Schizosaccharomyces pombe: one gene and its partner. The protein of the gene in region 1 interacts with the protein of each later gene in a pairwise test. Each region holds a gene or a part of one and is shown on either strand. Other genes may lie near its edges. The genes, in order: pcf11 and clr5.

What was found.
Region 2: the proteins of pcf11 (region 1) and clr5 interact in a two-hybrid assay, tested with the Schizosaccharomyces pombe proteins (one large-scale study listed by BioGRID).

The regions. Positions count from the first base shown.
Region 1 is NC_003424.3:2,254,922-2,261,184, forward strand, and holds pcf11 (cleavage and polyadenylation specificity factor), read right to left. Parts: upstream 4,266-6,263; 5' UTR 3,901-4,265; coding exon 3,751-3,900; intron 3,703-3,750; coding exon 1,936-3,702; 3' UTR 1,677-1,935; coding exon of another isoform or gene 1,014-1,676; 3' UTR 756-1,013; downstream 1-755. Other genes in the region: ribonuclease H2 complex subunit Rnh201, read left to right, coding at 1-647; adenylate kinase Adk1, read left to right, coding at 1,014-1,676; mpf1 (meiotic PUF family protein 1), read left to right, coding at 5,022-5,786, 5,858-6,263.
Region 2 is NC_003424.3:5,426,176-5,432,059, reverse strand, and holds clr5 (silencing factor Clr5), read right to left. Parts: upstream 3,705-5,884; 5' UTR 3,654-3,704; coding exon 3,538-3,653; intron 2,942-3,537; coding exon 988-2,941; 3' UTR 537-987; downstream 1-536. Other genes in the region: plasma membrane glutathione transmembrane transporter Pgt1, read left to right, coding at 1-202.

The DNA of each region.
Region 1 (6,263 bases):
TTCTGAAATTAATTTGCAACAAATCTAACGAGCTAGGAAAAAACGTTGGATGGTCTACTATGTCTATTTCCGCAAGAGAATTAGCTGCAGGAATGCTGAGGTACCGGAACAAGTATAATTTAAATCTTCAAGCACATGATACGACAATTGACTTAATAAAAAAAGTTTATGAATCAGGAATAAATGTTACAGAGATTTACGTGGATACAGTAGGACCTCCAATATCATACCAGGAAAAATTACAAGCTCATTTTCCTCAAGCGAAAGTCACTGTCACTAAAAAAGCAGATTCCCTTTTTCCCATCGTGAGTTTAGCTTCTATCTGTGCTAAAGTTACTAGAGATATTCAACTGGAATGCGCTCGTGAAAGTATTCGAACTGAGAACTGGGGTTCTGGATATTCTTCTGACGCTCGAACTACCGAGTGGTTAAAAGTAAATGTCGATAAAATTTTCGGATGGAAGGGAGACATAGTTAGATATTCATGGAAAACCGCTAAGGATTTACTAGAATTACCTTCCAAATCACAGTCTTCGATTGAAATAGATTGGCACGAAGATGACGATACTCCTACTTTGAACTTTACACAGAAAAAGAAACCGAATCCGGCTTCTCGTTCGTGGTTTGGATCAGAGTTTTATTTTTAGTTTAGTTACTATACTCTGTCACTACTTTTGCCTAAGACTAATTGTGAGAGTGATACGAATTTACATTTATGCTTAAAATCATTAATTGCATTGCTTCGTGCTTTTGGAGCTACGTAGAAAACCTTTATTAGCATTTGGTTATAGATAAAAATAATATAAATTTATTGTTCTATTTACCCCAGGCTTCTGCTCTGTTTATTGAGTTTGGTTTAGCACCAACAATAATATAACGACTTGTTAAAGTTCGCTATTATAAAAATTAGGTGGTCTTCTTTTACTTCTCAGTCCGATTTTAGACTACTACCAAATACCGCTTTGTTGTGGAATCTCGTTTTTTTTTTGCATAGATACCCAATTTGATCAAATATGGCTGGCATGAGACTTATTTTAGTTGGACCTCCAGGTGCTGGAAAAGGCACTCAGGCCCCCAACATTCAGAAGAAATATGGCATCGCCCATCTTGCTACTGGTGACATGTTGCGCTCTCAAGTAGCTCGTCAAACTGAGCTCGGTAAAGAAGCTAAGAAGATCATGGATCAGGGTGGTCTTGTCAGCGATGACATTGTCACTGGTATGATCAAGGATGAGATCCTCAACAATCCTGAGTGCAAGAACGGCTTCATCCTGGACGGTTTCCCCCGTACTGTCGTCCAAGCTGAAAAGCTTACCGCTCTTCTTGATGAACTCAAACTTGACTTGAATACTGTCCTTGAGTTACAAGTTGATGATGAACTTTTGGTCAGACGTATCACTGGTCGTCTCGTCCATCCCGGATCTGGCCGTAGCTACCACTTGGAATTTAATCCTCCTAAAGTTCCTATGAAAGACGATGTTACTGGCGAGCCTCTTATCCAACGTTCCGATGATAACGCCGATGCTTTGCGCAAGCGTTTGGTCACTTATCACGAACAAACTACTCCTGTCGTTGAGTTTTACAAAAAGAAGGGTAAATGGGCTGCTGTTGATGCTGCTCAAAAACCTGAGCAAGTTTGGGAGCAGATCGTTGCTATTCTTGAGAAGGCTGAGTAAGTATTTTTTTTAGGTTAGAGCTGAAGGGCCCCTTTCTTTTTCAATTACTTAGATATTTTTGCCTAGTGTTCGTAGGATATAAATATAGAATATTCTGAACCCAAAAGTTTTCGGTAAACTGTTTAGTTTGCTATACTACTATAAGCAGTATGTAAAACTCATATTTTAGCTGATTATATAGAAATATTTTTTGTATGTACATGATTCAAATTTATTGCTAAAATCCGAAAGCTCGAGAAAAATGAGGTTAAAACAAAACTCACTTGCTTTCTTGTTTAATAACTTTAGAAGACATTGAATCCATTGAATCGTCTCTCTCTTTGCGTTTACCAAGTGCTTGAAGGATACTTTGAATATCAATGCCTTGTAACAAATTTTGAACATCAGGTTGAGAGTCCTTCGAAGCGTCACCCGTAGCATTTTTAATATTAGACGAAACAGCTGCTTCCGCTAAATTTTGTGTACTAGTATTTGTGTTTGAATGTTTGTTTTCTGACGGGCGTACTTCTTGCAAACAAGTCGCATGAAATATACGGCCTTCCTCTTCGACTGCATTCATAAAGACCCAAACTTCAGCTTCCTCATGCCAAACACTTTGGAATTTTTCTTGACATATTGGACAAGGCTCGGACGCAGCAATTGGATCTAAGGGTGTCAATACATATTGTGACCTAACGGATTCCATTTGCTTTTGACGCTGTTCTTCGATTTCCTGAGCAGTCTCTGTAATTAAATCTTCCTCTTCTTTGCTATTGACCCATTCTTCCTCCATCACAAACCAACAGCGATTAATCCCATGAAGGCTACTTTCACGAATTCTCTTATTGATCCGAAAATGCCAATCTGAATGTTTGTCCAACTCCTTTCTACTTTCAGGATCATTTCCATAACGCCTACCACAGTTTGCGCATTGGTTAGAATAATTCTCATATAACAAAGAAGATAGCTTGGGCCGAGGAGTAGCGAGCGAAGATTTAGAAAGGTCAATGTCTGCTGTTAGAGACACAGCTTCAGTACAAGAAGCTTGTGGACCTTGAGACTTACCACCAGCAGATGGCGGAACCAACCCTGCAGCTTGCAGATTAGCAAAAAGAGAATCTATACTAGACGATTCTTCAGGCGTTAACGCGTTCGCGTTGTATAAGGATGCCGGCGGCCCTGAAGATAACGAATACTTGTGACTTTGAGGACCTGGATGGACATATGAATGAGTGAGTGGAGGTTGCGAAGATACAGAAGCCGAATACGCAGAAGGAATTGTAGGAATGGTAGATGGAATAGAAGGTTTCATAAAAGGAGTCGAAGAAATAGATGATAATGCAGAAGGCACGGAGGGAGCAGACGTAGCAACAGAACTCGTTGAAGGAGAAGCCGGCTTCTCTAATTGTGCCAGCTGGTTTTTTATAGCCAGCAATTGGTCATAAGGTAGTGCGGAAGAAGACAGCACATTTTTGAGTTGTAATAGTATTTCAAACCGCTTTTTAGCCATGTTGTCATAAGGATTTTTAATAAATCTAGCTTGTTCTGTAACAATCATTCGGTTAACATCAGATAAAAGAGAGTCCAGTGTAATAAATCCAGGAGAAGGACTGGTGCCCGAAATATGCTGAAAGCCAAATGGAACAGAAGGTAAAGACGGTTTGTACGAAGATGCCGGATCGGAAAATGAGGAGTAGGAGTTAATATTAGCGTCAATAGGAGCAGAAAATGATGAAATTGAAGTATTAGCAAGTAAAGGGCTCTGATGTCTCAAAATTGTTGATTTGTATTTTAGTAATGCGTTTTCAATTTTTGCTGTAACTATGGGGGAAAATACGGGCTCCAAAGAACTTGAATTCGGTGGACGTTGTTTCCAAGTAGCTAATAATTGATCCAGTTTTAAGCGCAGACGGGGTTCTACTACGGTGTATGCACTCATAAATGTCGAAAAAAGATGAAGGCCAAAAAAATAAGTATAAGGAGCTCCTAAATTCTTAGAAATAGAATCTAAAAGGTAAAGCGCTGGAAGTTTACAGTTAGGTGGGCACTGTAAATAAGAGTTAGCACATATGTTTCAATCAAGGTTAAATCATACTTTTTGGATATGTTTTTCAATGGCGTTCACGATGCTAATAGCATAAGGCTCATTCTCCTGCGCGATATAAGTAAGAGTATGGATGATAGGTTTACTGTTAAACGTTAAATCTTCTAATGCACTTAAGTAATCCAATTCCACTAAATCCATTTTCTTCTCTTTTCTGAGTTTAGGATAATGTAAAGCTAAACAAATCTAGCTATAGTCAAGTATGATAAATTATCTAACCGATACTGTCAAAACCAAAGTTTTCTTTTCTCAAAAATATCTTTTAAAACAAAATATTGTACACAATGATAAAATATTTACTTTTTAAACACACACACGCAGACTACAAAACAAAATTGTAATCGTGAGAGTCTCAAAAAACTAAGGATAATAGAAAACACCCGATATATTAGTACTGGGATATTTTCAATGCATCAGTATCCTTTTTCAATAAAAGGAAACTCTTTCTTTTAAAGAGAAGTCTATGGGACAAGGCAGCGTTGCTCGTAAGGAAGTTATTCGTATGTGATACATCTAATAGGTTATGTATTGTGTGTATATCATTCTCAGATTACAAAATATGGTGAAGCGTGCTAATGCAAATAGCGTATTTAAATTTACCCATTAATGTATTAACCTTTTTATAGTACTATTTAAAGTTATGGACGAGAATATTAACTTATAACTTATTAGCTTTTTTTTTTATAACAGTTTCGGCATGCATGGTTTATGGATTATCTGTAAATATACCTCAACATAATTTTAGAAAGTTTACGATTCAAAGAAACTCGTACTCTATTAAGGTGAATCTGATAGTAATTCTTGTCGGGACGTGATATTAAAGATCTAAAAGTAATGGAACCGATAATATAAAACACAAATTAAATGTTTTTTTAGTAAATTACTTTCAATTGTATGAATCATTCTTGAAGTAAAGTCTAACTTGAGTTTTTATATCTAAGAAGGCTGCATACAAAAGGAAAAGTTAAGTATATACATATTATTCTAAATCAATTTATCAATATATTATGAAAACTATCAAAGGAAGTATTGGCTCGTTGTATGCAAGGGAACGTGAAGAATGTTGGTGGTTTGTTTACTTAAAAAGTGTAAACAAAAGTTCCAATCCCTTAATCAGAATTCGCCCAAAGCATATTTTTTGTCCAGGCAAGGGAAGTTGGATAATTCTCTTTTGATCTCAGTAAGTCTTTTTAATTAATTTAGTTTTGCATTTAGGTTTTACTGTTTGATTTTTCTGCCTTTTAAAAGAGCATACCCAAAGTATGCAGAGAGACGAGGAAAGACCCATTGACTTTGGAATGTCTTTAGAACTCCCAAAAACACCAAATGATGTAAACTATGTTAAAAAATTGATTACTCAAATTCTTTATCTCCAAACTCTCGTTTCGGAGCAGCAAAAAAAGATTGAGTCATCTACTCTAGAGGTCCAGAAGAAGAAGGATCAAATAAGAGAATTAGAAAGGATTTATGAGATGAATCCAAAAAGTTTCCTAACTCTTCGACGAACGCCAGCGCTTAAGTTACTTCCTGAGACTTTGTCTGTAGAGCTATCTAATGAAGTAAATCTGACTTCGTCAACCACTTCTTCCTGCGTAAAGCCTTCTCCCTATCTTACAAATTGTAATCTAAAAAACAAGGACACATTTCCCGTTAGCAAAAATAATTGCTCTTTGTCTTCTGGAATTTTTACAAACAGCAATGGCACCAACAATTGTTTTTCGACTCATCCAAAATCCTTGGATGACGCAAAAGACAATGTGGTTCCTAAAAAATTAAATGATACCGATCAGTTTCCTTTATGGAGTAAAAATGAAACAATCGACCCGATAGATCTCGGTTATTCTTTTATTTCGCCGTTCTCAATGTCATTTGCAAGCAAGGGTAATGAAATTTTGGATCCAGGAGAGTCAACAAATAAAAATCTATTTTATGAATTTCCTAATGGAACAACCGAGCCGTTTGAAAAAAACTCTGTGCATTCTGGCAAAGAGACTTTACAGTACAGCGCAACCATAAGCAAATGGAAGGTAAGTCTTTCTTCAAATTTAAGCTTCATAATGTAATTGAAATTCCCTTTCGCTAATGATTCTTTTTTTAGGCTATGATAGAGCAAATTATCTTTCAAAATGATCAGGCAGCCTCACTATCTCTGCAACAGCAACTTAAGAATGAGGATATTGAGGATAATATTAATCTCATTAACACTATTCTTCCGTTTTCTGTTACATTAATGAAAAATAAGTTCGGAAACTTTCTGATACAAAAATGCTTTGAATATAGCACTGAGGCACAATTGCAAAGTTTTAGCTATTTTCTCAAAAAACATGTGAAGGAGTTATCGATTGACGCGTTTGGTTCTCATGTATTACAAAAATCATTAGAAATTTATCCAGAAAGATTTACAAATAACCTAATTGAAGAGCTTATAGAATGCTTACCAGCTACTCTTATGCAAAGACATTCCTGCCATGTATGGCAAAAATTTTTTGAAACGAGACGAAAAT
Region 2 (5,884 bases), 3.2 Mb from region 1:
GAGGAAGTACAACTACGTACTGGCTGCAGCTATGGATTCTGGGGTTGCAGTCGCTGGAGTAGTAATTTTCTTATGTGTATCATACCCTGGAGGTAAGATAACCTGGTGGGGAAACACTGTGTACACTAAAACTTATGATTGGAAAAGTGTGCCATATAGGTCACTTGGGCCAAACGAAACCTTTGGTTACACCAATTGGTAAAAGCTATTTTAAGGCGTTTAGTGCTCTCTCCTGCTCTTCCGATTGTATTTAAGCACATTTTTTAAAAGCATTTTAACAATCGTTATTTTGATACCCTCTAAGAACGATCTATATTGTACATTATATATTTTACCAAGATGGTGTGATATGCTTTGTCAGTTCAACAGGCCAAATCCGTTCTATTTTAAGGCTTTTAAAAACCTAAAAACGTCCGGTTACTCATAATTTGTTGAATGAAACATTTCCACAGCTTATTAAATATAATACTTTACTGAATCCACTACTATGATAACTATTCAAGGTTGGTTAAAGTTTGTAAATAGTAAAAACCGAATGTATAAGCAAAATAAAAATAACTATTATTAAATATATAACTTTTATGTACATAGGATCTCGTATACGAAAGTACCGGTCGACCTTGATTAAAAATAGTTTCTAAAATTATATACAAAGCAAAAAGACAAAACGATTAAGAGCAAAAAAGAATCAAAAATGAACTTAGCTCAAATAAGAGCTAACGCAAAAGGTTCTTTTATTAAAAAAGAAGGGCTTGCCTGTCCATATACCAGATACTGACACAAATGGCAATATAATTTAACTCACATTAGGCAGGTAGGGCGAATGGTGAAGAAAAAAATTAAAAAACATCTAAATGATAATAAAGCAGAAACCAAAAGGGAATGCCAGAAAGGACCAACTAAAGATACAGGTACTAGTATAAATAGAGCAACACCATGGAAATGGTCAAAACCGCAAAGTGCAACAAGCGGCAATACTAACCTAAACTAAACGAAACGAGAATCTACATCTGGATAAACAGGAAGTAAAGGTCCATGGTCATGCAAAGCTGCATCTGAACGAACCAGGGGAGAATGCTCATGGTTTTGTTGGGGCATAAGCAATGGATTTTGTACTGGATTCAAAGCCGCACTTGCATCTAATAGATTAGCTGAAGGATGGTGAATGTTCTGAGGAAATCTATTAACGAATGTGTTGGGATACGAGTATTGGATATGCTGGTCATCAGATAAATGAGAGTGAATGGGAGGAGGAAGCTGTTGAGGAACATTCTGTGCTGGATCAGCCATAGCGGGGAGAGGATTGTAATATTGATACGGTAGAGCTTGCTGCGATTGCATATGCGGGCTAGGTGCTGATGCTGAGTCATGAGCAGAGGGTCCCATTGTATGAGGCATTGCAGCCTGCGTTGCAGCAGCGGCACTTAGCACAGGTAACGTACCAACGTTATGAACAGATAAATCACGAGATGAACGGACAGTCAGAGTTTCATCGGATGGTTTTGCCTCCGGTTCAATTCGTTCAGAATAGTGATCGCGCATAGTCATTCCATTAGGATCGTATTGAGAATGCTGAGGGTATAAGTGTATACGCTGTAACTGGGAGGGGTCTTTAATTGACATGGAAGACTGCATTGAAAGATTAGAAGGATATTCCGACTTTTGCTCTTGATTAACGCCGTAAATGGAAGACTGCATATAAGCATGTGCTGGTGCTTGCATGTTTTGCCCATCCTCCGCTGAAGAAGAATATGAAGCTGGAAAAATGGACTTGTTTAGAGAGGGGTACTGACTTGCAAAAGAAGCTCCATTTGCATGCGCCATTGAAGGGCTGGATGTAGAATTAGGAGCAGACAAAGAATCAGTAGGCCCTGAATTTGAGTTAGGAGAGGGTGAATGAAGATGATTGGAATGAGGTGTGTATGAATTCATGGGTAATCCATTGACAGCAGTTGGTCCGTTAGAAATTTGTTGAGGAACCGACGCTGTAGAATACATAGGTTGTTCAGATGTATAACTGGGTTGGTGATTTCCAGGCTTACTTTCAAGATAAGATGGTTGATTTGGAGTATATCGATCATAGGAATAAGAATTAACAGGCATCGATTGTGATGATTGCATATAGGATATGTTGGCATGAGTATTGTCCATTGGAAGGGCATTATTACCGTCAGGATGAGCAGCAGATTGGTTTGAAGAAGCAAACATGGTGGAGCCCATTGGGACATTTCTAGATTGGTAGATGAAAGGATACAAAGCTTGTGGCTGACCGTTAACGGCATGTTGAGCAGCAGGGAATGGATGAGATTGTTGCTGTCGAGAGAAACGTTGAGAGGGTATTTGGAAAGGCTGCTGCAAATAAGGAAGAGATGGCATGCTAGAATAGCCAGACTGTGGAGGAGTCAAAGAAGAGTGCGCATTGTGTGCATCAGCCATAGTTGAAGGATCCACACCCATGTGAGGGGGAAGCGAGCTATGGTGAGGAGGATGGATGGCACCCATATCTAAATGGCTCGAAGAAGAAGATGATATAGTAGCGACGGGATCAGGAAGAGTGCTAATGGGAGGAGCAACGTTAGGATTGGAAGTTGTAGACGACGAAGAGTTATCAGCAGACAAAAGACAAGAGTTGGCCATCAAAGGGATAGAGTTATTGGGAGAATCGTGGGAGTCAGGAGGAGGACGCTTTAAGGCTAATCTCTTACGACGATAATGCAAAGCACGTTTCGAAAGTTTTAAACCAAAGTTCGCCTCTATCTGGGCCAAAGAATCTTTATCACTTTGTCGCGCATGAAATAATTGGGTAACGAGTTCATCGAGAGCCTTTGAAACGTCGCCCGAAGCGGTTCGCGCGGCGGCCTCTTCGGTTCGGGGCGAGACAAAACGTTGACGATGTACTCGAATTCCCCATCGAGCCAACACGCGTTTGTATGAGCGAATACTAGAGAAAAGTTAGCAAGAGTAATGAAACAAAACAACAAAAAAAAAGAGCTAAAGAGACAAGTACGCGATACGTGAACATAAACGTGAGCGAAAACGAAGTAGCGAAAGACAACTTCAACGCAACGCCAAATGAAATAGAGGAAAGGAAAACAGGATGGATTCATATGGCATGGTCTTTTGCATGAGCATGCACATGATATACATGACGGGTTATTGTTTAGGACATTTGTATCCTGTATGTAAGTGGATTGGACAAAGTGGATGAAAAAAAAGATATTCCAAACAAAACAGCAAACCAAAAAGACAAAGAAACAAAGAAACAAAATTTCATTGTTGAATGAATGTCTCAGTTGAGGATGTTTTGGAAAACTGCCATCCTGTTTTATTGTCGCAACCCCACATACCCAACAATAGCCAATGTCCATGCAGGCACGACACACAACGACGACCTACACCCAAACATCCAAACACACAATTCCATTCACCTTCTCGTACCTCTAGCCCTGTACTTATTCGCTCCTCGTCGCATCGCAAGCATCTCGCACAAAATGGCGCAACTTGTAGTCCCTGCGGCGACACCAACAAACTACTTACCTAGCGTCAAATTTATACATCTTTGACATTCTCGCCTGCAGCTCGCGAATCGTCATTCCATTGATCTTGGAAAGCTCGATGATCTGCTCTCTTCGACATTCCCATTCCTTCGTCATTGAAATCGAACTTTCGGTTGTCTAATGTTGTTTCAAGTTGAGATTGGAAGTGGCCAGAGTTGGTGGTAGTGGTGGCTCGTAAAGTAGGGGTGAAAATAGTGTATCAATTTAGTGCACGAATGACAACAACGTTAAATGATAAAATAGAGCGATCCAAGGTACACCCCCGGAAACATGTAAGGAACATCGGGTCAAAGAGGATAGAAATATATAGCCAAAAAGGGCGCAACTTTTTTCTATCATCTCAGGCATTCGGAAAAATGACCTCGTATCGATGGTTGCCATCTTTCCAATCACATCGTGAGATATTCATTAAATATTGCTCATGGAGAATTTCGGTTTCACTGTTAAGCCGCTTCGTATGATGGCGCTTCCCTGCTCTTATCCATCCAACAAAACTCATTACTCCTTTCGCACTCAAAGTACTGAAACTCATTCTACTCAACACTACTCTTAGGTAGGTTAGGTTAGGTTAGGTTGGGTTGGGGGAGTTTGGGCCTTTGCTATCCCATATGTCTTTTGGCACGTTTGATCTATTGGTAGAGGGTGGACTCGCTAGCGGCAACTTTTTTCTTTTACCAACTCTTTTGTTCGCTTCTTCCACCTTTTGTCAACTCAACAATAACCTTTAACGTTAAATCCTCGACGAGAGCATTCTGTCCCATTTCCAGTAAGTGAAGGATGAACGTTAGAAAGCTGACATGTTCGCGATTTGGTCTGCTAGTAAATGTTGGGCAGAGATGCCTGCTTGCCTTGTCTTGCCAAGGTATTTTTTTCTTTTCGCAAACGAGTAACAGGTTGCTTTGGAGACGACATGGGTATCTGGAGACGAGTGTCTGAGAAAAAAAATTGAAAATCCGAAATCATGATCAACTCCGAACGTACCTAATTTGGATGGACGAAGAGGAGGAAGAAGCGAGCACCCATGAAAGAGAGCACACTGATGCACGCATCCATCAAGTGTTACAAGACAGAGGTAATAGTAGATGAAATAGAAGGGATGGCAAGGTAAGATATGAAAAGGTAGGGTAAGGCATGGGATAAGAAGAGAAATAGGATAAGAAAAGAAAGAAAGAAAGAAGAAAAATAAAAATAAAAATAATACTAAAAAATAATTGGGGTAATTTCTTTCTTTTTCCTTAATTTATTTTAAAGTTCTTTGATCGAGTATTTCCTTTTTATCGACTTCTTCCTCTTGACACTGCCGATGTCCTTTACCTTGCAAAACTTATGCTATCGCTCATCCCGAGGAAAGTTTATAAACTTGCTAGTAAGACTCGTTGTTTTCTTACTACATAATCCACCTTGTATTCTTTTAGTATACAATTTTAACATACTTTATAGCAGCTTCATTTATACAACATACGGAATAGCATAATTTATTTATTAGAAACTTTTCATAACATACTTTATTCGTATAACATACTCCACTCTATTATTTGTATTATCATCACACTGTCTTGTAAATATAACCCAATAAGTAAATGAATAACTAAATATTAAAAAAAAATATATATTTTGTAACACTGGGATGCCAGTTTTATGCCACTCGCATACCTTTCGCATCCATATCAGACACAACTCTATTTCCTTCAATTTGGCAAACTCTGCGTCCGCCAAAATAAAATCATCAAGTCATGTGAATAAACATAAAGTTGAATGTAACATGTGAACAAAAACATAAAGTTGTGTGAATTTTGCAGATCTTATTACATTTGTCTTTTTCTATTTTTATATCAACATAAACTAAGGAATCCCATCTCCAAAAAAGAAAAAAAAAAAAAGGAAATAAAATTATATGTATATATTTTTATCCATCAGTCTCTCTCACAACAATTCATTGAACCAATATAGTGATATGGATTACTTATTCCACCGTTACAATATATTCATTTAACGACTGGCATTACTCCACTACTTTATCAGCTTCGGTGTTTCCCACCCTATCTATTAGTCTTACTGCGTTTTAGTGTATGGGGTCGAATTTATGGGGGTCAAATTTCGTTACCCTCATAAAATTTTTTTTTCTTCTCCAACATGTCGTGCTAGAGTTAATCCATGCAACTCCACCTCCTCGGTGTTCCAACCGAACATTACTCCCAACCTTGTATACTTTTATGCTTTACTTTATCTAGTGATGATAACATATTCCTTATTTTACATAATTACATTAGGTCAATCATAAATCACATATCATTTAAGACGTAACAAAAGGATTTGGAAAGTCGAGA